Linked DNA regions of Mus musculus. The protein of the gene in region 1 purifies or fractionates together with the protein of each later gene. This does not show direct contact. Links are inferred from orthologs where the notes say so. Each region holds a gene or a part of one and is shown on either strand. Other genes may lie near its edges.

Region 1 (3,500 bases):
GTTACATAGAGACGGTTTCATTAGTTAAACCTAGTCTTCAAAAAAAACATAGACATGTGGCAGCAGGGCACCAGCGGATGGGTAGCACGTGGCTGTGTGCTCTGTAGTCAGGGCCCAGGGTGCGTCCCTGACCCAGGCCTGTCTGGTCCCCTGTGGTAGCAGGGTAGGAGTTCTTTCTATGACTGGCTGCTGATTGTCCCTGCCTGCAGGCCCGGGTGGAACGCATGGAGCAGTTTCAGAAGGAGAAAGAGGAACTGGACCGGGGCTGCCGGGAGTGCAAGCGCAAGGTAGCCGAGTGCCAGCGCAAGCTGAAGGAGCTGGAAGTGGCTGAGAGCGATGGCCAGGTGGAGCTTGAGCGGCTGAGAGCTGAGGCACAGCAACTGCGCAAGGAGGAGCGGAGCTGGGAGCAGAAGCTGGAAGACATGCGCAAAAAGGAGAAGAACATGCCCTGGAATGTGGACACGCTCAGCAAAGATGGCTTTAGCAAGGTGGGACACTGGCAAGAGTGCTATGGAGTGCGGTCAGGCTAGCTGGGGGTGGTTCGGTGGTGGAGGCTAGACATGCCTGTAAAGACCCCAGGTCCACCCCTGTGTCCCCATCCCAGTAAACTAGAAAAAGAATTCTGACAATGAGAGCCAGGCAAAGCCACCGGGTGGGGTGCGAGGACAGGGGAGGGACAGACAGACAGACAGTTTGAGCTTGGGATTGGCTAGTGGAGGCCAACGAAGCCCATCCATACCCTCTGATCTGCCCGAAGGCCCGCGGCCATGCCTCCGCCACCTTGATGCACTTAGCGACGCCACCGCCTCCGATGTGGACAGGATGGGCGCGGCGGCCACGGCCCCCAAACCCCAGGCGCACCCCTGCCTTGCCCCAGCCCACTTGCCCTCTCACCCTGTCACAGAGCATGGTCAATACCAAGCCTGAGAAGGCAGAGGAGGACTCAGAGGAGGCAAGGGAGCAGAAACACAAGACCTTCGTTGAAAAATATGAGAAACAGATCAAGCATTTCGGTAAGTTCCTGCACAAAGGCTAGGTTAGGAGTCAAGGCCAGCAAAAGGCTTCCAATGGCCTCTGCGACATCTTCCTAACATCCTCTCCTGCAGGCATGCTCCACCGCTGGGATGACAGCCAGAAATACCTGTCGGACAACGTCCACCTGGTGTGTGAGGAAACGGCCAACTACCTGGTTATCTGGTGCATTGACCTGGAGGTAGAGGAGGTAAGTGTGCCCTTCCCAGCTGCGGGGACTCCCAGACACTGCGCCTGCTCACGCCCCGCCCACCTCTTTGTCCTGGCAGAAATGTGCACTGATGGAGCAGGTAGCTCACCAGACCATGGTGATGCAGTTTATTCTGGAGCTGGCCAAGAGTCTGAAGGTCGACCCCCGAGCCTGCTTCCGGCAGTTTTTCACCAAGATCAAGGTAATGAGCTCCTGTGTACCACCAGGAAATCCACAGTGCAGTGCGCGATGTCAGATATTTATTAGAGGGGCTTGAGGTGCCACGGGGATGGCCGTACATATGTATACTTGTGTGTGTGTGTATACATACATACATACATACATACATACATATATATATGTATGTATGTATATGAAACGTGTGTGGATGTGGATGTGGACCCATATGATTAAGAGATAACTTTGTGTGGTTGGTTCTCCACCTTTCTGTGGGTCCCTGTGGTAAAACAAGCTGTTAGGCTTACATGGCAAAGCACTTTCACCTACTGAACACCTAGCTGACCCTATTTGAGGATTTCTTTCTATTCATTTACTTTAAATATTAAATAATTTATATGTAATGTAAATATATTGCATAAACATTATATAAGTAAATATTAATTTTTTTTGTTGCTGTGTGTGTGCCTGAGTGAGTTTATGTGCATCATTCGCATGCAAGTGTCTTCAGAGGCTAGAAGAGGGCGTTGGGTCCCTGGAGGTGGAGTTGCTAGGGTTTGCAAGCTGTCATGTGGGTAATGGGTACCAAACTTGGTTCCTCTGAAAGACTGGGGAACCTGAGAGCAGGGCAGGGTAGAACAATCCAGAACTGAGGTTTCTGTAAGACCTTGCTGGAGGACACCTGAAGATGTGATACCAAGCTGGTGCTGTTGAGCCGAGCCAGGCGGCTGGCCATTAGCAGGTGGTCTCACAAGCTAGTAGGATGGGCGCTGAATGCAGGAGACAAAGGCCAAATCTTGAGGTAGCCATGGTGGAGTTCAGGAAAAGCTTCAGGGAGCCTTCACCTCCCTAAACATCTGGTTATGAATTGCAGTGAGCAGTACCCACCCTCTTCCACAGACCGCTGACCACCAGTACATGGAGGGCTTCAAGTATGAACTGGAAGCCTTTAAGGAGCGAGTGCGGGGCCGCGCCAAGCTGCGAATAGAGAAGGCCATGAAGGAATATGAAGAGGAGGAGCGCAAGAAGAGGCTAGGCCCTGGTGGCCTGGACCCCGTGGAGGTCTACGAATCCCTGCCTGAGGTGTGACTCCCCAGGGCCCAGGAGGGAGGAGGGTGATGTATACCCATTGCTGCTCCCTGCCCCCGCCCCTCTGCTCCCACCCATCCCAAGCCCAGGCCCTCACCCTGGCCCCTCTGTACTCAGGAGCTGCAGAAGTGCTTTGATGTGAAGGATGTACAGATGCTGCAAGACGCCATCAGCAAAATGGATCCCACTGTGAGTCCCTAGTCCCTGTGGCAGATGGCAGATGGCCAGGGGGTGCAACCCTGTCATCCAAGAGCAGGGTTGTGAGTCCAAGGCCAGGCTTAGTTAAGATGAGCCAGAGCAATTCAGTGAGACCCTGTCTGAGAACGACACCCTTCTGCACACACGCACGCAGTACAATACCAGTATACTTTAAAAAAATCTTTTAATTCCTTGCCCCACCACCACCACCTTTTTTCTCTGAGATAGGATCTCACTGTGTAGACCAGGCTAGCTTCAGACTCACACAGATAGACCTGCCTCTGTTCCCAGGCTAGCTCCAGACTCACAGATAGAGCTGCTCTGTCCCCTGCGTGCTCAGGTTACCTCGCTGGTTACTTAAGTGCTGGATTGTAATCTCTGGTCCTCATGATTTGGAGGAAAGTACTCTTAACTGCTGAGCATAGCTGTCACCACTCCCTTTTGTCTGTGTGTTTGTTTTTTGAGACAGGGTCTCATGTAGCCCAAGCTGACCTCAAATGTGCTACATAACTGATGACCTTTGCTCCTGACCCTCCTGCTGCCACTTCCTAATTGGTGGGATCACAAGTGTGTACCACCATATCTGCTTGTCTGTGGTGCTGGAATGGTAGAGTCTCAGAACACTGGGCAATTGCTGCACCCGCTGAGTCACATGCTAGCTTCTGCAGTTCTATATTACCAGTCCTGGGTGGAGTGGGTGCTGAGCAGCCTTGAAGGAGGTGCAGGGGACACTGGGCATCATGCTGCTGGCATGGCCTCATCTGCTGTCCTCCCTCTCTCCACAGGATGCCAAGTATCACATGCAGCGTTGCAT
Region 2 (3,500 bases), on another chromosome or scaffold:
CCTCAGGATCAGCACACAGGAGAGGGGACCAAGTAATATGAAGGCATCATGGAAAGCAGCTAAAGAAAGGGCTTGGCACTATTTCAGAGGTCAGGAGAAGGTGCACCCTCAGCTGCAGTGGAAACCCTAGCATATTGGATGCCAGTAACATGGGACAACCACCATGGAGAGCAGAAGCTGTGGCAAGTTTGTAAGGCATATCTTCAATTAATAATTGCTGTGGGATGGCCCAACCTATGGTAGGTGGTGCCACCCCTGGGCAGGTGGGCCTAGGTTGTATAAGCAAGCAAGCAAGCTGGACAAGCCAGAAAGCAGCATTCCCCTTTTGACTATACTTCACGTTCTGCCTCCAGGTGCCTGCTCTGCCTCTGTCATGGATTATAAATTATAAGCTAAAATAATCCCTTTCCTCCCCAGTTGCTATAAGTCATGGTCTCTATCACAGCAACAGAAACCAAACTAAAACACTATGAGCAATCTACAGATTCAATGCAATCCCCATCAAAATTCCAACTCAATTCTTCAACGAATTAGAAGGAGCAATTTGCAAATTCATCTGGAATAACAAAAAACCTAGGATAGCAAAAACTCTTCTCAAGGATAAAAGAACCTCTGGTGGAATCACCATGCCTGACCTAAAGCTTTACTACAGGGCAATTGTGATAAAAACTGCATGGTACTGGTATAGAGACAGACAAGTAGACCAATGGAATAGAATTGAAGACCCAGAAATGAACCCACACACCTATGGTCACTTGATCTTCGACAAGGGAGCTAAAACCATCCAGTGGAAGAAAGACAGCATTTTCAACAATTGGTGCTGGCACAACTGGTTGTTATCATGTAGAAGAATGCGAATCGATCCATACTTATCTCCTTGTACTAAGGTCAAATCTAAGTGGATCAAGGAACTTCACATAAAACCAGAGACACTGAAACTTATAGAGGAGAAAGTGGGGAAAAGCCTTGAAGATATGGGTACAGGGGAAAAATTCCTGAACAGAACAGCAATGGCTTGCTCTGTAAGATCGAGAATTGACAAATGGGACCTAATGAAACTCCAAAGTTTCTGCAAGGCAAAAGACACCGTCAATAAGACAAAAAGACCACCAACAGATTGGGAAAGGATCTTTACCTATCCTAAATCAGATAGGGGACTAATATCCAACATATATAAAGAACTCAAGAAGGTGGACTTCAGAAAATCAAATAACCCCATTAAAAAATGGGGCTCAGAACTGAACAAAGAATTCTCACCTGAGGAATACCAAATGGCAGAGAAGCACCTGAAAAAATGCTCAACATCCTTAATCATCAGGGAAATGCAAATCAAAACAAACCTGAGATTCCACCTCACACCAGTCAGAATGGCTAAGATCAAAAATTCAGGTGACAGCAGATGCTGGCGTGGATGTGGAGAAAGAGGAACACTCCTCCATTGTTGGTGGGATTGCAGGCTTGTACAACCACTCTGGAAATCAGTCTGGCGGTTCCTCAGAAAACTGGATATAGTACTACCGGAGGATCCAGCAATACCTCTCCTGGGCATATATCCAGAAGATGCCCCAACTGGTAAGAAGGACACATGCTCCACTATGTTCATAGCAGCCTTATTTATAATAGCCAGAAGCTGGAAGGAACCCAGATGCCCCTCAACAGAGGAATGGATACAGAAAATGTGGTACATCTACACAATGGAGTACTACTCAGCTATTAAAAAGAATGAATTTATGAAATTCCTAGCCAAATGGATGGACCTGGAGGGCATCATCCTGAGTGAGGTAACACATTCACAAAGGAACTCACACAATATGTACTCACTGATAAGTGGATATTAGCCCAAAACCTAAGATACCCAAGATATAAGATACAATTTCCTAAACACATGAAACTCAAGAAAAATGAAGACTGAAGTGTGAACACTATGCCCCTCCTTAGAAGTGGGAACAAAACACCCTTGGAAGGAGTTACAGAGACAAAGTTTGGAGCTGAGATAAAAGGATGGACCATGTAGACACTAGCATATCCAGGGATCCATCCCATAATCAGCTTCCAAATGCTGACACCATTGCATACACTAGCAAGATTATGCTGAAAGGACCCTGATATAGCTGTCTCTTGTCAGAGTATGCCTGGGCCTAGCAAACATAGAAGTGGATGCTCACAGTCGGCTATTGGATGGATCACATGGCCCCCAATGAAGGAGCTAGAGAAAGTACCAAAGAAGCTAAAGGGATCTGCAACCCTATAGGTGGAACAACATTATGAACTAACCAGTACCCCGGAGCTCTTGACTCTAGCTGCATATGCATCAAAAGATGGCCTAGTCGGCCATCACTCGAAAGAGAGGCCCATTGGACACGCAAACTTTATATGCCCCAGTACAGGGGAACGCCAGGGCCATAAAAGGGGAGTGGGTGGGTAGGGGAGAGGGGGTGGGTGGCTATGGGGGACTTTTGGTATAGCATTGCAAATGTAAATGAGCGAAATACCTAATAAAAAATGGAAAAAAAAAAAAACACTATGAAAGCTATGAAACCTCCGGCCTTAGATACATCTCAATACATGCATTTCTGTTCAGTTTCTAGCTGGACCAATGGGAAAGGTCTTTGTTGGAAGGCCAAACACAAGGGAGCAGTAGGAGGCACAGAGAACTTAACACCAATGCTAAGAGCCATCAATCTCCTGAAGTTACTACTGGTTGCTGCCTAGTATACACCTTCTCTGTCTATGGCTGTGCTCCTGGCTGCACTCTTACAGGCCCACCTGGCTGACTCATGGCAGCCAACTTTCAGCTTGTTGAACTCGCGCTGCAGCTGCTCCAGCTGCTCCTGCAAATACTCCTTCTTCTCCACCAGCTTCTCCCGGGCATGCCTCTCAGCTTGGAAGTCAGCCTTGTAGATATCCGCCTGGCAAATAGAACAGAGGTGAACACCCACCATCCATCAGCTTCCCATCAAGCATTCTATGCCATGCCCAAAGGAACAGAGCCCTGGCCTAGGACCCTATAATAGTACATCAGAAACAGATATGAAAGCCTATGATCCCAAGAGCACCAAGAAGTCAAGGAAGAATGCAAAGGGCTCAAGAATAGAGAAGCCACTACAAAATGCTGTAAAAAGGTACACAGAACCCCACTGCCTGGATGGGCAGGTCATTCATGTGGTAGGCAGGCTGGAACAGAGCCCTCACCTGGGCCTTCAAGACTGGCACAGTCTCCATCACAATCTTGTGCTGCTCAGCCTCCTCTTTCAGCTTATCAATCAATTCCTGTTTGGCTACCAGGGCCTCCTCAGCTTGCTGGAGCTGTTGCCTCAGATCTTCCAGCTGCATGCCCTAGAGAAGGACAAAGGGTGCTGTCAGAGTCTTTTGGCCCACAGTGGGGCCAAGCTACCTCCCTGGCTGGCCATTGTTTGAGACTAAGTAGGAAAAGCTGGAACAAAGTCAGTCCTTTGGATTTTGGAGCCAATGACCATGTGTGCAGGGAGAATACTGCATCC
Region 3 (4,231 bases), on another chromosome or scaffold:
TTTCACTTTGTTCTCATAAAAATCTCCTGACCTCCATTTTGTTTCTGAACAACAAAAAAACTAAAACAGTCTTGGAAACCTGAAGATTGTGGAGCCTGACAGGAACCATTTTACAGTTAAAAAAATTAAAAGGCCAGGTCTTTAATCTTAGCATTCTGCAGGCAGACCAGTGAGTTTTAAGGCCAGCCTGGTCTACATAATGAGTTCCAAGTCAAACAGGGCTATAGCAATAAACCTTGAGTTGCATTTTAATTATAGAATATTTAAAAAGCAAACTCACTGTAGAAACCAGTTTGAGTAATTTAGACAGAATTATCTTGGCTGGAGTTTTCAGCATCCCTCGAGTACAAATTATGAAACTGCATCCCACCTGTCACTCCTGGCTCTACCATACACAGCAAATGAGGTTTCATCCTGTTACATGACCGTCTCCTCTGCTCTAAAGATGCTCTCTCAGAGCCTCATTTCTATTACCTTCAAGTTTAATATTCCAATTCCATGAAAGATATGAAAATAATAGAAACCAGTTTATCGAATACCACTCACTATTAGTGACCCACAACATCGAATTGCATGCTGACGTTGAGAATTTGATTTTATGCTGACTCTTACACTTTTGAGTTATTAGCATCGCTAGCTTCAGCCCGGTACAAGCTTGTAATCCCAGTCTTGGAAAGACGGAGAAATACGTTCTAGTCCAGGCTGGACTGTATTGAGATCCTGTCTCAGAACAGGACACCTAGAGTCCATGAAGTGGATAACCCACTCAAATGGCTAGGTGGGTTGGCTTTCCCTGTGCAGCCCACCACTCAGAAGTATGCCTCTCTGGACCGAGAGCTCCTCCAGGCTTGTCTTTATAGCCCTGTGGTGCACCTCAGAAACAATTCCAACTCAAGTCGGAGAGAACAAGGCTGATAAACAGTAAGGTCGGTAGGGAGACTCACGAAGTCGCGAAGAAGAGTTTTCACTCTGGAATAAGTCACATCCTTGGTTGGTTTGGGATTATGGAGAGATTCTGATTTACAAGGCTAATGAATCAACAGGGCGGTTAGCGCAGTTTTCTTTAATACTTATGGTGGCCTTAACCGGTGCCGACCGGCGAGTGTGGTAGGATTCGAGGGGCAGAGGGCAGGGCTCTCAAAAAGATGAAATGTGAATGAGGTAGGGACAATGTGGATTTTAGAGTTTGGAGAGAGATCTATTTTAAATAAAAACACGTTGTATGAAACCTTCAAAGAACTAATTAAAAAATATCTATACAAACAAAAATAAAATAAATAGGAACCGCACGCACGATGGTCCTCGCAGGTTGGAAGTTGCCCAGGGCAAGCCGCTGGTGCCCAGTTTCCGGCAGCACCAATCCCAGGGTGATTCCAGGAGCTCGGGGCGGGACTCTGCATGCGGAAGCTAGCGGAAGTGACGCAGTCTCGCGAGACGGAGGACTCCGCAAGCCTCGGCGGCCCGGAACCGGCCTTAGACCGGCGGCGTTGCCTGAGGCGGCTGGCGCTCCCGCCCCATGGAGCGGCCCCCGGGGCTGCGGCCGGGCGCGGGCGGCCCCTGGGAGATGCGGGAACGGCTTGGCACCGGCGGTTTCGGGAACGTCAGTCTGTACCAGCACCGGGTGAGGCGGGGGGCGGGAGCCGTGGCGCGGGCTCTGTCTGGGCGTCCCTGGGACCCGAGCTGTCAGTCAAGGTGGGAGGAGTGGTGGTCGCGACCCTGGACGGGGCTGGGGGCTGGGGCAGTGAGCGAGGGCGAGCGATGGAGCATCCTGCGCTTGTGAGCCTGGGTGGCCGCGGTCCAGGTGTGTCGGAGGTCCCCGGGCAGTGAGTGACAGGCAGCTGTTGCAGCTGTGTGTGGTGATGAGGAGTCTGTACAAAGTCGAGTGCCGATGCGTGTTGTGTGTTTTGTGTATGTGTGTTGTGTGTGTCTCCGTGTGCCTGCTCACACTCCCTCGGGAGCGAGCGGTGTGATCCACTGGAGACTGGACTAGACGAGAAACCTTACGGGTGTGTCCAGAGTTGACCCTTGGGAAACATTGACAGACTTTGGAATTGGAGCGTTTCAGGTAAAAACCAGGGTGAGGGTAAGATGATGAAATCGATCCTTGCTTCGGAGGAAAGAAAATAGAGGGGTTTGTTCTGCAGAAGACAGCTAAGATCAGGCTCAGGAAATTTGTTTTGATTTATCGAAGAACATGTAACCGTTACAACAGCAGTTATTCCTGTCCTTAAAAGGTTTTCAAACTAACAGTCACTTTTCTTACTTTAACGTGTTGTTGTTAATGTTCGGGGTGGAACACAGGACCTTGCACATGCTAGGCAAATGGTCTACCGTTGGGTTACAGCCTCAGCCCTAGTTAATCATGTTTGAGTTGTGGGTCTTTTGAAAAGTCAGTAAAACGCATCTTTTCTCCGGAAAAAAAAATCATATCAATACAAGCCAGTGCATTATTAGTGAGGGTTTTGCTTTCCTGAAGGGTGTAAGGAATAGATCTTGAACACCAATCATTGTAGTATAGGATTTGTTGACTGTAAAATATTTAGAAGAATATACATACATTCTGGGCCTGCTTGAGAGTTGAGTCAGATGGTAACAGAGACGTTAGGAAGTACAAGATAGGTACTGTAATTCCGCTGATAGCTCTCCACTGTCAAGTTATGGCAACCCTCATTACTTGGACTTTTATAAAAGGAGCAGTAAGATAAAAATGGTGTTCTGGAACATCATATATGAGGAATACGTTTTAATTAGAAAAACAGTAAGCCAATTACAGGACATGAAATGATTTAGTTGATTGCTATATCAGGCGCTGATGGTACCCAAATCAACAAGAATAATATGTTCTACTCTGAAGGAGCTTTCCGTTTCAGAGAGGGGGTGGGCATGGTGGCATCCTCTTGTAATCCTAGTATCAAGGGTTCTGAGGCAGGAGGATTTGGAGTTTGAGACCTGACTGGGTGGCTTTCATATCGTGCTCAAGGCCGGTGTCAGTTACATAAGAAGGCCCTGTCTCAGAAATAAACATTAAGTACAGTTTGATACCCTAGGCACTGAAAGATGTCTTAGGGTTTTATTGCTGTGAAGAGATACCATGACCAAGGCAGCTTTTATAAAGCAAAACGTTTAGTTGGGGCTGGTTTCAGAGGTTTAGTCAGTTCTCACTTGGTGGGACATGGTGGCACGCAGGCAGACGAGGCACTGAAGAAGTAGCTGTGAATTCTATATCCTTGACCCAAAGACAGCAGGGAGAGGCTGTGTCTCACCGTGGGTGTACCTTGCGCTTAGGAGACCTTAAAGCTTGAGCCTACAGTGACACACTTCCTCCAACAGTACCTAGTGCTGCCACTCTCTATGGCCTACCATTGAATCACATGAGTCTATGGGGGTCATCACACCCAACTTAGTCTCATTTAAAAAACAACAACAGCAAAAGCCCATCTTTTTGTTGTTGTTTGGCAACTATAAAGTTCCCAAGAGAATATTCTTTTTGAAAAGATTGAGTTTCTCGGGGTAGGTGAGTGTTGTGGTAAATATTTAAAAAGACCCTCCACCTCTCCGAGTTCCATCCAGCTACTCTCTGCCCGCCAACTCTCCGGTGGGGCTGCAGCTCCTAAGTTCCCTTTGCTGCTATGCCAACCCAACACAGCAACAGTCCACTCCACTATCAGCCACCACAACATCCAGCAACCCAGTAGAAACAAAACTCTAGAAGTTTATAATTAACCAGTCAGGTTTATATATCAATAAATTCTCAATTCACAACATGCCAATACAATAATTTCAAAACCAGTTGATACTGATAAAAGCTGCCCACCTAGGCTAGACAGATTATCCCATAACTACCTGTGGCTATTTAAAACCACACGGGATCAGAATCTTCTTCCTGTCCCTCCACCTCCATTTTGGCTTTCCTCTCTTCCTGAGATACTCTCTGTTTCTGCAACTCTTAGCTCTGCCTCCCTTTACCCTGCCCAGTCACAGGCCCCTTGCTGCACTAATATTTTAATGTAATTGGACAGGGAAAATCCTGCCTCAGGTGAAATATAAACTAAGGAGTTGAAGGATCTCTTGTGATTAATGACCTATACCAAATAGATAATTTTCTGCCTCATTCATATCAGAATTTAGGGCTTATTGGCTTTGTTGTGATAACACTTTATATAGGATGTAACTATTATCAGATACCTGCCTGTTTATAACAAAAGTGAAAGGAGTGAGCCCAGTGCTAAAG
Region 4 (3,500 bases), on another chromosome or scaffold:
CCGGTACACCACGTTCTTCTCGGAGTGCAAGTAGTCCAGGGCAGACACAATCTCCGCACCATAGAAGCGGGCCCGGTCCTCGGAGAACACACGCTCTCGAGACAGGTGGAAGAAGAGCTGTGGGGTGGAGCGCGCTGAGGAAGGCCTGTGTGAGGGCCCGCCAACCCTTACCCACAGGCAGAGGGAAGGTTAGGAACTAGCCCCCAAAGAGAACTGGAGACTGCGAGACTCCAACTCAGCAGAAATAAGACATCCCCAAACGAGCAGCTACAGGCTCACATGGCCAGGGCTGGCAGCACCAGTGATCTGTACTACAGAGAGGGTTCAAAGCTCTCAGAGGGACAAGTTCACCCATCAAGTGCCCAGGTCTGAAGCTGCCTGTGGCCCTACCTCGCCCCCGTTGGCATACTCCATGACAAAGCAGAGGCGGTCGTGGGTCTGGAATGAGTACTTGAGGGCCTGGAATGGAAGCAGGGCAAGCCTAAGCACAGTGACACTGCCACCCCAAGATGGATCAGGGCACATCTTGGGTATCACCGTAGCCCAGGCTGGCCTAGAACTCAGCAGGGGCTACAGATGCAGGCCACATGCCAACTGGTAGATTTTAAGATGAGAGACACGAGGTCTAGGTTCAACTGCAGGGCAAGATGGCTTAGAAGTTAACTATACCAAGTTCTGGGGTTCCCAAGAGCCTCCAGATGGGGAGGTTGACACAACAGCTTATGAACTGGTGCACTGAGCCACCCCGGCACCTTTCCATCATGGACCACGGGTGGAATAAGCCCAAGATGCTGACTCTGGAACTCAATCAAGCTACTGTAACTGAGCTTCACTAACAATCAACCCTGAGGGACCAGCCTAGAAGACGGGTCTGAGAGGACTGCAGGGATGGAGAGCTGGGGCAACTCAAGGTCTCAGCAGAGTGAGAAGACGAGTCTCACTCCTGCCTCCTGCACACTACAGCTGGGGCATGACTGCAGCCCCGCCCTCCATCAGCCTACCTGATGCCCATGAAGCCCTTGCCCGTCCGTGTATGGGTGCAAAGGCAACAGTGTGGGAGTGACCCACTCTGGCCCACTCTTCCCTATCCCACAGGGGCCAGACTGATGGCCACTGCTTACCGTAAGGAAGGGATGCCTAGAGTTCTGCAGGACACGGTTCTCAGTAAGCGTGTGGGCAACCTCATCCTGGAATGCAGAACCAAGTGAGCACCTATCTCCCCTGCATCCCACTCCTCTCAGCCTCCCTCCAAGCCTGCCCTCCCTGCACCTTGGCGACGATGACCTCCTTCTTGAGGATCTTCATGGCATAGTAGCGGCCTGTGGCCTTCTCTTTCACCAGAATCACCTTCCCAAAGGTGCCCTTGCCCAGTAGCTTCAGGTACTCAAACTCGTTCATGGTCTGTGGGCAGTAGACAGAGCCCGGTTAGAGAGAGCCTTTGCTCACCACAACTAGCCTATGGTAATAAACCATATGCCACCGCCTTCGGCTTGACAGTGTCCAGAGTGAGCAAGCTTCCTCCAAGTTAGCCAACAGCAAGAGAGCTGGCCACAAGCCAGGCCCATTCTCACATGTGCTGGCCTGTGCAGTCAGTGAAGGGCTCTGCACAGTCTAGTCAGAGCGCTGGGCCTTGGGAGTCAGCGGGCATCTTCATATTACTTACTTTTAAGTACTGGGGTCTCATGTCTCATGCACGCTGGACAAGCACTCTGCCAACTGAGGTGTCCTCAGCCCATGTCCAGAGGAGCCAGGGGTACCCAGACCCATACAGGAAGCCAGGCAGGAATACCAGGACCTACCAGGTCCCTCCACAACCCCTGGCAGCCCCAGCAGAAGCAGAGCCCAGACTCACCACACGGTGCTTGGGCTTGGCCAGGGACACCTCCATCTCTTCAGCCCCTGAGTTGTCACTGGGTGAGCCTGATCGGAAGTCCATCGTCTCTTCTTCCTGCCTCTTGAGTCCATCTGCCACAGTCTGAATGGCGGTGGCCCATTCTTCCCTGCAGCGGGTCAAGTGAGGCCTCAGGCACCTGGGGGCGCTGTTGCATGGCTTCCACCAACCAGCTGCCTGGCTCCCTGGTCCTGAAGCTGCAGGCCACCACTCAGATCCTGGGCCTCCATACACTCAAGAGTATCAGGAGCATCAAGGTACCTGGGATGCTGATATTTCTCCCATTATGCCCCACTCATCCCACAAGTGCTCCAGTCTAGTTCTCCAGAATGGACTCAGCAGAGGCCTCAGGCTCTCGAGCAACCATACCCTGCCCACTCACCGCTCCTCAGGCGTTTCCACATGGAAGGTGCGCTCAATGACTGTGGTCCACTGCAGGCAGCGGATGATAAAGGTGTTGGGCCTTGGCCGCTCTGTCTTCATCAGCTGGCATTCTAAAGAAGTCGGGGAAGCATCTATCTGTTTCTCCGTGAAACTCCCCCTCGTAGTCCTCACCAGACAGACCTCAACCCTGTCCCAGGAAGGTGAATCTCATCCTCACTTTAAAAGTGTATTTGCCAGGTGTGGTGGTGAACACCTTTAATCCTAGCACAGGTGGATCTCTGTGACTTTGAGGCCAGCCTGGTCTACAGAGTGAGTTCCAGGACAGCCAGGGCTACACAGAGAAACCCTGTCTCGAAAAGCAAGCAAACACACACATTGATTTCAGGGGCTGGAGCGATGGATGGCTCATTGATTAGAAGTACAACTGCTCTTCCAGAAGACTAGAGGTTCAATTCCTAGCACCCATATGGCAACTCACAACCATCTGTAACTCCAGAGATCTGATGCCCTCTTCCTGTCTCTAAGAGCACCAGATCCACACATAAAATAAACAAACACCCTTCTTTACACACAAAACAATAAAATGTAAAAAGTTTTAAAGTTTTAAAGCTTTTTGTTTGTTTGATATAGGGTCTTTTGCTGTGCAGCTCTGGAAAACTCCACGTAGACTGGAAGTCTCAAACTATGGCGATCCTCCTGCCTCTGCCTCTCAAGTGCTGATTTTACAGGTTCTAGCCACCACCGCTAGCATTTCTGTTTTCTTCCTATGTAATTCAGACTGACCTAGAACTCACTATGTAGTCTACACTGGTCTTGAACTTGAGGTAATCATGCCTCAGCCTCCTGAGTGCCAGGAATACAGCATGAGCCACCACACCCTGCTCCATCCCCTCTCCTTGCCCTAGTTCCTCTCAAAGAACTGAGACCCAAGACCTGCCACAGCTGAGATGCTCTGCTCTGAAGGTGAAGGAACCAGTCAGGCTAGATCAGTTAGCCCTACACCATAACTATCCTGAAGTTCCTCTGTCCTTCAACTGCTGATCCCTACCTCATGTGGGGGCCTCAGGGATCCAGCCCACACCCCCTTCCGGTACAGAAGTATCTTGCTGTTTTCCCAACAACATACAGAGTCTCTGGAAAAGTCACACATGTACTCAGCACCCAAGCCTCACACTGGGAGCACACACAGAACAAGGATGCCCAGAGCATGAACACCTGGTGGCCA
Region 5 (3,500 bases), on another chromosome or scaffold:
GTTGTGGGTGCTGGGAATTGAACTCCTGTCACCTGCAAGAGCAGCCAGTGCTTTTTTTTTTTTTTAGATTTATTTATTATTATACACAGTACACTGTAGCTGACTTCAGACACACCTGAAGAGGGTGTCAGATCTCATTACTGGTGGTTGTGAGCCACCATATGGTTGCTAGGATTTGAACTCAGGACCTTTGGAAGAACAGTCAGTGCTCTTACCCGCTGAGCCATCTCACCAGCCCACAGCCAGTGCTCTTAACTGTTAAGCAATCTCTCTAGACCCTAAAGTAATATTTTTAGATAACGCAGAAATGGTGGAATGGAAAGGAAATGAAAATCCAGGCCTGGAGGCACTGACCTGGACTTCAGCTACTTAGGAGACTAAGCAGTAAGGTAGCAAGTTCAAGGCCAGCCTAGGCAACTCATCAAGACCATATCTCAAAATGAAAAAGGAGATAGTGGCATGGCTCAGTGGCAGAGCAAGGCCCGATGTTTCATCCCTAGTATATAAAGGGAAACAGGGGCTGGAAAGATGGCTCAGCAGTTAAGAGCTCTGCTCTTCCAGAGGACCTGGGTTTGGTTCCCAGTACCAACATGGTAGCTCACAACTGTCTGCAATGCAGTCCCTAGGGATCTGACACCCTCTTCTGACCTCCTTGAATACCAGGCATACTCATGGTACATAAACATACAAGCAGACAAAATCCCTATGTACATAGTGAGTAAGTCAATTATAAATGAATAAAAGTTTGAAAAGAGTGAGCAGATGTTAGTATGAAATACAAAGCCATAAAAAACAGCTATGGTGACTTCTATAACTGATAACATCAGGCACCCCTGGGAAGTGGAACAGTCTGGGGAGATGTGTCCTCAGAGTAACCCAGGGTCTGTGCAGTGAGTGACCTTGCCAGCAGGACTGAAGCAAGTAACAGTGTCCTGCATCTATGCCATCTGGGGTCATGTGGGTTCCCACTCACCTGAAAGATCCGAGGGTCCCCAGGTGGAGGGCTGCCTGCAGGGGAGTAGACGGGCTCCAGCCGGGTGAATTCCTCCGCAAAATTCCCCACATCCAGCTCTGAGCGGATCTGGGGCCGGAATGGGGCTGGGATCTTTCTGGCAGCCAGAGCCACCCAGTCCAGACCCTGGGAACAGAGGTTAAGGGTGAGAACAAGGTGATCCACTCTGCTTTCTCTGTGGTATGGAACGGAACCTTTCAGCCTGTGCCTAACCTTGAATGACTACTTTATAATATAATGACACAGCCTTGGCGTGTGCTACTCCATTTTGAATCTAACTGCTGAGAAAGAATGACCGTTACATCTCCTTTATACAAGCAAACAACTGCCACCTGCCAGCACAGCCAGAGGCACAAGCTGATAAACATTTGTATCTAATAAATAAGGACACCTGGAAATGTAGCAAGCCCTGAGGGAGGGCGAAGCTCAGGCGGGAGTGTGCCTCCCTAGATGCACACAGAATCCTGGTCTGATCCTCAGAATGCATGAACTGAGCATGCCTATCATCCTAAAACTGGGGAGGGTGGAGTCAGGAGAGTCAGAAACACATAGGGAGTTTGAGACCCTGGTGGGTGTCAGAAAGATCAGACACTGAGCATATCACATCTAAAGGAAGTCCTTCCCCTGGGACTGTGAAAAGAAGGATCCTATGATCAAACTGTGGCTGCCCTGCTAACTAGTCACTGGGTCACAGGTGACAACCTCATCCAGGCAAATTGCCACAGCAGAGGACTGTCACCCAAGCGCCCCCATAGCTTCTTCTTCAGGGACGTTCAGCCCACTTCAGCCTGGCCCTGAACTGCTCAGACTTCAGGACAGCCTCAGCAGGGAAGCCTCTCTAAAGCTTCCTTCGCCATTCTGCAACCTATGTATAATTACCATGTGGCACTTGGGCTGGAGAATGAATTCTCCTAACGACAAGGAGACTAAACACGCAGGTGAGACAGCGCCCTGGAAGGGGGCACTCACCCCCAAGCCTCACAGTCACACAGTGGAAGGAGAAAACCCATCCCTACAAGTTGTCCTCCCTTTTGGGAATGAGCACCTGCTCTTTGATATGTTTAAGCTAAGGTGGCAGAACTAACTAAGCTTCTGCCAGCATCCGCTTTCCTGTCTTTTTAGCATCATAATTCCAATACAACCAAGATGCACCATCTTACAGACACTTCTTTGTAGCTGGTTGTGCCCAATAGCTTGCAAGGAAATACTGTCAGGTGGAGCCTAGGAAAGCACCTTGAAGGGAAGGTGAGAAGCTTGCAAACCCTGCCCTTCCTCCTCCCACTTCCGTCCTGGAAAGCAGGCTACATAGTCATCCCTTTGGAGTCACAAAGCAACCCTAAAAATGGATGCCATATCTAAATATGGAAGAACAGAGAGACAGACAGACAGACAGACAGACAGAATGAATGAATGAATGAATGAGCTTGGATTCTCAAAGACAACCTGGTCTGGATTTCTTCTCCTCACCACTACCCCATTGTATGTGCACATATATATGCATGTGTGTTTGTATGTGTGCGATGTCGGGTAAGTGTGTATGTGCAGTAGCCTCCAAAGATCTTTGTCCAAAGAAAGGGCAGAAGGGAGAGGACACCATGTCAAGTGCCAAGCCTCAAAGACCTTGGGGACTTCTGCAGGATGATAGACAGGTGAGCACTCTCCCAGCAGTCTGAGATGGGGGAGGGGGGTGTTCCAGAAATTCACTGAAGGAAGTGGACCCTGGTCAGCTCCATTCTGTGTTCTAGTCTTGCCCATGCCTCTACCTGGGGCCATGCTGGCCCGGGAGAGGAAGACTCTGCTCTGAGAGCACCCCTGGAGACCCTCCAAGGCTAGGATCCCAGCATGGAGGCAGGAGGGACCTGTGCCTGGCCACAGGGGATACCCACAAATGGATGGATGCTCTTGCTGCATGTCAGATAGATGCCAAATCTGATGACTGTATATAAACAGAAGACAACAGCTAGGAAAGGCCACTCAGTGAGATCACATGTGAAGGCTCCGTGCTAGTTCACGCATTCCCAGGGAGCTGCCCAGTGAGTGCCCTGAGGACAGTGGGGTCTGCACATTCTGCCCTTTGACCTCTTATTGTGTGTAACATCGGAAAAGATGGAATACATTTGTGCTCCCCATGCTGCAGCCCGGCCTTCAGAGGTGAAGGACCTATGAGGTCATACATTAAAGCCTCACCTGGAAGAAGGGGTGACTCTTGACTTCCTGCGCACCCTGGGGACCTGCGCCCAACCTCTTCTTAGGGTCCTTGCACAGCAGCCGCTGTAGCAGGTCCTGTGCCACAGGCCCAATCCGGAGAGGGAAGGGAGGGGAGCACTTCAAGATCCGTCTGGGAGGATGGGTGGGGTGTCAGGGGCAGCAAGCCCCCTCCCAGCCCAGCCCAGGAAGGCCGTATAGCCCTCAGCTACCCTCCATGACCTGTACAACTCACCGGGACACCTCAGCCTGAGTGTTCCTCTCTCCCTCCAGTGTGAAGGGT
Region 6 (3,500 bases), on another chromosome or scaffold:
CCAGCTATATATTGGGACAGGAGGACTCAAGTTCAAGGCCAACCTGAACAACTTAGTAAGACCCTGCTTCAAAATAAAACGTGAGAAGGGGGCTGGGATATAGCTCAGTGGTAGAGCATTTTCCTAGTATGAGACCCTGGTTCAGTCTCTAGTTTGAGCATGTGTTGGAGGTGACCTTGGTGGATGACAAGGACAGAAAAGTAGGTGTGATCAGGCCAAGCAGAGCCTATGGGGCATAATGAATCTGGTAATTGTTTCAAGGCAGCGTTAAGCTTACATGCTATGCAGGCTCATGTTGCAGTCTAACTGGTGGCTTAAGGGTTACTACCCAGGGATTAAACTCAGTATCCTGTATGCGTTAAGCAAGTTCTGTGCCATTGAGCACCAGTCTCAACTCTTGTCTTCTGAGTCATGGGCTGGCCCGGAGCCTCCAGTCCTCCTACTTCACTGTCTTGAGAGTGACAAGTGTCTAGAATGACAGGCATGTGCCCCAAGCCCAGACTGGAGGATTTTATAAGTCTTGCAAATAGCCCTTCAGTGAGAGTTTATCCCTTCCACTTAGTGGGTGAGGAAGACAGCCCAGAGAAGGTAGGTATTTCAGTTGTACTCAGCTAGGCAGGGAACCGGTGTCCAGGCCTCTCTCTCTGTCTTAAAGGCTTAAGATGGGCAGGGAGGGCTCCTCCAGGGCTGCTGGGTCCTAACCACCCTCCGTGCTCCATGCTTTCCCCAGCCACCTACAACAAGCACACCAAAGTGGCGGTGAAGACAATGAAGCCAGGGAGCATGTCCGTGGAGGCCTTCCTGGCTGAGGCCAACCTGATGAAGTCGCTGCAGCATGACAAACTGGTGAAGCTACACGCTGTGGTCTCTCAGGAGCCCATCTTTATTGTCACGGAGTTCATGGCCAAAGGTGCGTGGGCAGGGATAGAGTGTGGGCCAAGCTGACTCCTTTCAGTCTCCAAGATGGCCTTGGCGTGGCTCTTCTGGCACAGCCACCTCATAGAGCATCTACACTCCAGCCTCCTGGCTGGCAGAGTGCAATCCTGTGAAGGGAGCTCGGTGGAGAGGAGGGGCAGGGGCTGCAGAGCCTCTGGGCGACAGAGGAATCACATGGCTTCCTTGTGACTCGTACCTGGGAACCTCAGTGCTGGGCTGTAAAGAAGTCTTGCTCCAAGTTCTAAGGGACAAGAAGCCACATGGAGAAAGACCATAAAGGTGCCACTTCATCTTGAATGTTCCACCTGTGTCACCTCACTTCACAGTGTGGTTGGTCCTGCTATGACCAACCCACAGAATCATGACAATGTCCGTGTTGTCACTTCAGGCTACTTAGCTTTGGGCCACTGTATCCTGGGATTATTCAGCATATTTCAAGAATGTTTGAGAAAGGATTCCACTCTGTAGCCCAGGTTGTCCTGGCACTCATTATGTAGCCCAGGCTAGCCTCAATCTCGTAGCTGTCCTGCCTCAGCCTCTCAAGTGCTGGGATTACAGATGTGTGTCTCCACACCCGGCTTCTCAGAGTTAGTTAGTTAGTTAGTTAGTTAGTTTTAGAACAGCTGGTTTATAGTCATTTTCAGTCCCTGGTCATTTCTGGATAAACATCTCATACAACAACATCCAATGTGACTTGAAAACTCAAAGCTTTTTCTACTTTTCAAGTCTACTTTACAAATCTACAACCACCCAGCTTTCTAAAGCAAAGCCCTGGACACCCAGGTCCATGGGGCCGCATCAACCAAAGAGTTAGTAAGCAACTAAAAAGTCCTTTCAGAAAAATTCAAGCTCTAGCACTCAGACACTAGAAGCAGTAAGTAGATGTGTCTTTAACTAGCACTGCAGCTGGGCGGGGATAAATGCTGGGAGTCAAGACTAATCTACTAGCTAAAGTGGAAAAATAGCTGGAGCCTGGGAATCGGAGACCAGTCTGAACAATATAACAAGGCACTATCTCAAGAAGAAAGTCATACCTGGCTTGCCTTTAATCACAGAACTTGAGAGGCAGAGGCAGGCAGATCTCTTTGTGAGTTCAAGGCTGGCCAGGCTGGTCTACAAATCTACTTTCAGGACAGCCAGAATGACACAGAGAAGCTTTGTCTCAAAAAACGAACAAGAGAAAGGAGGAGGAGGAGGTGGTTAGCTGGAGATGTAACTCAGTGCTTGCCTAGCATGTGTGAGGCTCTGGGTTCAGTCCCTGTACTGCAAAGAGGAAAGATCTCTATTGCTATGAAAAACTGTTACTTATTTCTCACTAAGGAGCAGTAGTCCATGTTCCTTCTCACTCCCCTCTGCAGGAAGCCTGCTGGACTTTCTCAAGAGTGAAGAAGGCAGCAAGCAGCCACTGCCAAAACTCATTGACTTCTCAGCCCAGGTGAGTTGTGCCAGCGATAGTCAGGAGAGGTGACAGGAAAGGTGACGTCATTTGTGTTCTCTGTGTCTTTCATGTGAATACTCATGCTCCCCACACACAAGGACTAGTCACAGTACTCCAAGTACTCAAAGACTTCTGTATGCTAAAGTCCCTTATAGAAAATAGTATATTTACTGTAAATATACTATTTTCCCTAGGCACATTCCCCTGCATGCTACTTAAAGCATCTCTAGCTGGCCTATGGAATCTAACACAAATGCTATGTAAACAGTTATTATTTCGTATTGTATAAGAGATAATGACCACTTAAAGTCTATAGACAGCATTTGATTTAGAATATTCTTGCTGTGCGGTTGGTTGCGTGCAGATGCAGAACCCATGGATACAGACTGTTCTTCATATGAACCAACTCATACAGTGCTGACATCAAAACTACGGAATTTTTCATAACAGGTTAATTATTTTATTATATGGGTCTTTTGCCTGTCTATGAGTCTGTACTACATGAATGTCTGCTGCCCTCAGATGTCAGAGGAGGGTGCCAGATTCTCTAGAGCTATAGTTATAGGTGCTTGTGAGCCACCATGTGGGTGCTAGGACTGAATCCAGGACCTCTGGAAGAGCAGCCAGTGCTCTTAACCACTGAGCCATCTCTCCAGATTCTGGAATAATTTTGTTTGTTGATTTTTGGTGTGAGGAATGGAACCTGGGGCCTTGTACATGCCAAAGAAGGACTACATTTGAGCTACGTCACCATCCATGTAAGTCATCCATTCTTATGTAACAGATAAAGGCTTAGTAGCCTGAAATGATAACACTGAATATTTCCCATGATTCTCTGGACTGACTATAGCAGGCTAGATGGAGCACTCTATGCACTGAGGTGGCGTGAGGAGCATGTCCAAGGTGACGTTCATTCTTACAACTTCTCCCTGTGTAGCCTCTCAGCACTCAGTATTTCTTCACAGCCCAGTATCAGAGCTCCAAGTGGGACCTGTCCAAGGTGCAAGCAGTGGGTAAGCCTCTGTTTGCACTGACTTATCAATGCCCTATTGGCCAAAGTCAGTCACAGCAGCCAAGCCCAGAGTCCTGGCAGGCAAATGTAGGAAGGTAATTGTCATTCCGTCGT
Region 7 (3,500 bases), on another chromosome or scaffold:
TTTTGGCAATGGAAGCACAAGAAAATATTCGTGGTCTGGAAGTGACAAACTGAGTATGGAATGATTGGTGTCTTTTAGCGACCCACCTGGGACTCCTGACCCATCAAGCAGTTTGTACACGGTGTCACTGTATACAATTGTCATAGTGAGAGTAGTAATGTGGAATGCTGACAGTGTTCTAGGAGACCACATCTGAGGGAAACAGGGCAAGCAGGGCGCAGGAAGAAGTCAGGACTCACCTTGCTGTCTGAGATGCACTGAGTAGCAGGCTTGTCAGGGAGCAGCACCAGCCCTGCCTCTTGCAGCAGCTCCTGGTCTGTCTCCAGGATCCCCGTGTCTTCCTGGATTCTGGTTTTTAAGCTCTGCAGACTCTCATCCTCCGTCACGGGGTATGTGTGAACGGTGCCTGTGACCATGTTCAAGACATGAACCAGCTGCAACACAACCCAGATGTTACTGGGAAGAAATTTTCTTAACATTTATTTACATTGTGTGTTTGTATGCTGTAGTGGTTTGAATATGCTTGGCCCAGAGAGTGACACTATTTGGAGGTGTGGCCTTGATGGAGTAGGTGTGTCTCTGTGGGTGTGGGCTTTAACACCCTCATCCTAGCAGCCAGGAAGCCAATCTTCTCCTGTTTGCCTTTGGATGAAGATGTAGAACTCTCAGCTTCTCCTGCACCATGCCTGTCTGGACACTACCATGTTCCTGCCTTGATGATAATGAACTGAAGCTCTGAACCTGTAAGCCAGCCCCAATTAAATGTTCTTGTAAGAGTTGCCTTGGTCATGGTGTCTGTTCACAGCAGTAAACCCTGACTAAGACACTTGCATATTAGGAGGGGGGAGCACGTGCGCACACCACACCACGTGTGTGGAGATCAGACGACAGTTGGAAAGAGTTGGTTCTCTTTTCCATTAGGTAGATTGTCAGGCTTGGCCACAAGTATTTTTACCTGATGAGCTATCTCACTATCCCAAAAATCAAAATTCTTTACAAAAGGCTCATGGATTTGCCAAGACCCTTTGCTACCCCCAACCCATACTTGCTGGTAAAGGGCTAGTTTAAGTCCCATTTTTCCTCAACGGCAAGATGTCAAAACATGTCAGTCATCTCAATTTTCCTGTCCTCTTTTTAGCCCAAAGAGTCAGAGGAACCTGAATTTCTTCACAAGGCCAAGTGGCCCACGATCTGATATGTCTCCCTTCCTTGGAAAGACTGCTGTGCTCCACTGGGGACCACAGCTGCTGCCTCGGGGCTGCTTGGGCTCTGCTCTAACCTTCAAGTTCAAGATGTCATCCAGGGCTCTGAAGCAGCCGTTGGGGCCATACTGGGGATCCGTGCCCCTTTGCCGAGGGTGCCACATAAGCATCAGCTGCAGCCACTTCTCCAGCCGTTCAGCCAAGACACTAAGGGAGCAAAGGGAAGAGAGGCCTGAGCCGGCCTGCCGCAGTGTGCAAATCCCGAAGCACACACAGCCTTCCTTGGCTGATAGCTCAGCTCGAGTGAGGTGCTTGCTGTGCACACATGAGAACCTAAGTTCCATCCCAGAGTCCACATAAGAAATGCTTCTATCAGATGAGTGGATCCTTGAGGGGTCAGCCAGCTCAGCCTACTTGCTGAATTCCAGACCTGAGAGAGAGACTCTGCCTTGAAAAGGAGAAGGTGTGGAGCGACGGAAGAGAGCCAAGGTTGTCTTCCATAGCACACATACACCTGCACACACTGAAAGTGACCCTGACACTTTGATAAGGCTTGTGAGAGCTGGGTGGGGTGCTTGCCTGGTTCCGTGGTTTCCTGATCAGCACCATGTCTCTGTGTGTACATATGTGTAAACACACATATGAAGAAAATATGAAAAAATTAGGCCAAGATTTCTTTGTGTAAACGAATCACATACATTTCATTAATCTCATTAGTATGTAAGTTTAATATATGAATATTTTAACTTAATATTTGTCTTTAATAAAATTTAATATTTGCCTTTAAACAGTATGATTAAACCAAATGATTCTTTTAAAATATATGATTTATTATCAGTAGATGCTTGACTTATATACTTTATGTATCTACATATCTGGGGTATTATAAACATTTCTTGGGCACAAAGGGATCCCAGCTGCTGGCTGTCCTGGAATTCACTCTGTAGACTAGGCTGGCCTCGAACTCACAGAGATCCACCTGCCTCTGCCTCCCCAGTGCCTCCCCAAGTTCCAGGGTATCCTGGTCTACAGAGTGAATTCCAGGCCATTCAGGGCTACACAGAGAAACTTTGTCTCAAAAAATCAAATCCAAACCAAAGAAAACAAAACAAAAAAACAAAACAAAAAAGCCACCAATCAAAACCAAAGCCAGGGACTTCATCTCCACCATAGAAAAAAACCAACCAATCAACCAACTACCCAATCAACCACCCACCTAACCACCCACCCGCCCACTCATCCACCTGACCAACTACCTACCCAAGCAAGCAAGCAAGCAAGCTAGCAACCAACCAACCAATCAAACAAACAAATAAACAATTTTTAAAAAGACTCCTAGGAAGATGAGATATGGAAACCCATCCTATGTCTAATGTTGAGATAGACTGGTCCAAATTCTCAATCACAGGATGGTGTTCTGATATCTATTCAAAAGTTATGCATGGGCCTGGAGATGGCTCAGTGCTTAAGAGCTAGGGTTGGTTCCCAACACCCACACGGCAGTTCACAGTCATCTCTAACTCCAGTTCCAGAGATCTGACTATTCCTCTGGCTTCCACAGGCACCAGTCACTCAAACGTATAAAATTAAAGTAAAAAAGAGTCAGCTGTTATCTCAAACCTGTAGCTCTAAACAGAGGCGAAGAAGATCTATAAGACTGATGCCCCACGGCCTTACCTGTTAAGATTATTGGGGAAGGGTAGCGAACTTGAAAACTTCACTGCTCCATTCAAGTCTTCACTAACAACGATGTCCACTTCGCTCTTCTGCCGGACTTTGGAGTGCCTGTAGGTGTCATTTTAAGATGTCCTTTATGTCACTCAGTGGCAAGTACCCGGTTTACACGTGTAATGTCACTTCACGACTATTCTTTTGGAAAACGGTGGGCAGCATGCTGCTAGGATGCTTCTCTGAGTGTTTGTGAGTGGTCGGCACTGTGGTTAGGGGCTTAGCTCTAAGCATTGAGTTCAGCAGGAGTGTTTGTGAGTGGTCGGCACTGTGTTTAGGGGCTTAGCTCAGTGCACTGAGTCCAGCAGGAGGCCTCTCGTCCTAAGTCTCCAGGAGGCACCGTTGACCTCTGTGTGGAGGACTGAATAGAGACAACCTAAGTCTGAGTAGTGCTGCATGGGCGACCAAGTGCTCTTGGCCATGTCTCTAATTTCCTCTGCACCTCAGTTGTCAGGGACCAACTTCCATTTGAAAACAGTCATTTTCAATTGCACTTAGGTGTGTGTAGAAGGATATATGTCTCCTGTGGGCTGCCTGCCTGATGCAGGTGCTAGGAACCAAACCGAGGTC

What was found.
Region 2: the proteins of Cdc37 (region 1) and Ikbkg purify together in Homo sapiens (affinity purification with mass spectrometry; 7 studies listed by BioGRID and IntAct, with this or other methods). This does not show direct contact. The link is inferred for Mus musculus from reciprocal best matches to the Homo sapiens genes CDC37 and IKBKG.
Region 3: the proteins of Cdc37 (region 1) and Chuk purify together in Homo sapiens (affinity purification with mass spectrometry; 7 studies listed by BioGRID and IntAct, with this or other methods). This does not show direct contact. The link is inferred for Mus musculus from reciprocal best matches to the Homo sapiens genes CDC37 and CHUK.
Region 4: the proteins of Cdc37 (region 1) and Akt1 purify together in Homo sapiens (affinity purification with western blotting; 5 studies listed by BioGRID and IntAct, with this or other methods). This does not show direct contact. The link is inferred for Mus musculus from reciprocal best matches to the Homo sapiens genes CDC37 and AKT1.
Region 5: the proteins of Cdc37 (region 1) and Rps6ka4 purify together in Homo sapiens (affinity purification with mass spectrometry; 3 studies listed by BioGRID and IntAct, with this or other methods). This does not show direct contact. The link is inferred for Mus musculus from reciprocal best matches to the Homo sapiens genes CDC37 and RPS6KA4.
Region 6: the proteins of Cdc37 (region 1) and Hck purify together in Homo sapiens (affinity purification with mass spectrometry; 3 studies listed by BioGRID and IntAct, with this or other methods). This does not show direct contact. The link is inferred for Mus musculus from reciprocal best matches to the Homo sapiens genes CDC37 and HCK.
Region 7: the proteins of Cdc37 (region 1) and Ikbkb purify together in Homo sapiens (affinity purification with mass spectrometry; 8 studies listed by BioGRID and IntAct, with this or other methods). This does not show direct contact. The link is inferred for Mus musculus from reciprocal best matches to the Homo sapiens genes CDC37 and IKBKB.

What each region holds. Positions count from the first base shown.
Region 1 is NC_000075.6:21,139,935-21,143,434, reverse strand, and holds part of Cdc37 (hsp90 co-chaperone Cdc37), read left to right. Parts: intron 1-209; coding exon 210-488; intron 489-757; coding exon 758-1,013; intron 1,014-1,106; coding exon 1,107-1,222; intron 1,223-1,301; coding exon 1,302-1,424; intron 1,425-2,299; coding exon 2,300-2,482; intron 2,483-2,605; coding exon 2,606-2,677; intron 2,678-3,471; coding exon 3,472-3,500. UniProt on the Homo sapiens protein: Co-chaperone that binds to numerous kinases and promotes their interaction with the Hsp90 complex, resulting in stabilization and promotion of their activity. Inhibits HSP90AA1 ATPase activity.
Region 2 is NC_000086.7:74,443,181-74,446,680, reverse strand, and holds part of Ikbkg (NF-kappa-B essential modulator), read right to left. Parts: intron 3,337-3,500; coding exon 3,193-3,336; intron 2,910-3,192; coding exon 2,767-2,909; intron 1-2,766. UniProt on the Homo sapiens protein: Regulatory subunit of the IKK core complex which phosphorylates inhibitors of NF-kappa-B thus leading to the dissociation of the inhibitor/NF-kappa-B complex and ultimately the degradation of the inhibitor.
Region 3 is NC_000085.6:44,104,678-44,108,908, reverse strand, and holds the start of Chuk (inhibitor of nuclear factor kappa-B kinase subunit alpha), read left to right. Parts: upstream 1-1,431; 5' UTR 1,432-1,516; coding exon 1,517-1,621; intron 1,622-4,231.
Region 4 is NC_000078.6:112,657,277-112,660,776, forward strand, and holds part of Akt1 (RAC-alpha serine/threonine-protein kinase), read right to left. Parts: intron 2,386-3,500; coding exon 2,274-2,385; intron 2,076-2,273; exon of another isoform or gene 2,001-2,075; coding exon 1,853-2,000; intron 1,402-1,852; coding exon 1,270-1,401; intron 1,188-1,269; coding exon 1,122-1,187; intron 460-1,121; coding exon 391-459; intron 118-390; coding exon 1-117. UniProt on the Homo sapiens protein: AKT1 is one of 3 closely related serine/threonine-protein kinases (AKT1, AKT2 and AKT3) called the AKT kinase, and which regulate many processes including metabolism, proliferation, cell survival, growth and angiogenesis.
Region 5 is NC_000085.6:6,834,128-6,837,627, forward strand, and holds part of Rps6ka4 (ribosomal protein S6 kinase alpha-4), read right to left. Parts: coding exon 3,453-3,500; intron 3,351-3,452; coding exon 3,200-3,350; intron 1,139-3,199; coding exon 974-1,138; intron 1-973. UniProt on the Homo sapiens protein: Serine/threonine-protein kinase that is required for the mitogen or stress-induced phosphorylation of the transcription factors CREB1 and ATF1 and for the regulation of the transcription factor RELA, and that contributes to gene activation by histone phosphorylation and functions in the regulation of inflammatory genes.
Region 6 is NC_000068.7:153,135,968-153,139,467, forward strand, and holds part of Hck (tyrosine-protein kinase HCK), read left to right. Parts: intron 1-730; coding exon 731-910; intron 911-2,294; coding exon 2,295-2,371; intron 2,372-3,500. UniProt on the Homo sapiens protein: Non-receptor tyrosine-protein kinase found in hematopoietic cells that transmits signals from cell surface receptors and plays an important role in the regulation of innate immune responses, including neutrophil, monocyte, macrophage and mast cell functions, phagocytosis, cell survival and proliferation, cell adhesion and migration.
Region 7 is NC_000074.6:22,672,084-22,675,583, forward strand, and holds part of Ikbkb (inhibitor of nuclear factor kappa-B kinase subunit beta), read right to left. Parts: intron 2,988-3,500; coding exon 2,880-2,987; intron 1,410-2,879; coding exon 1,280-1,409; intron 435-1,279; coding exon 240-434; intron 1-239.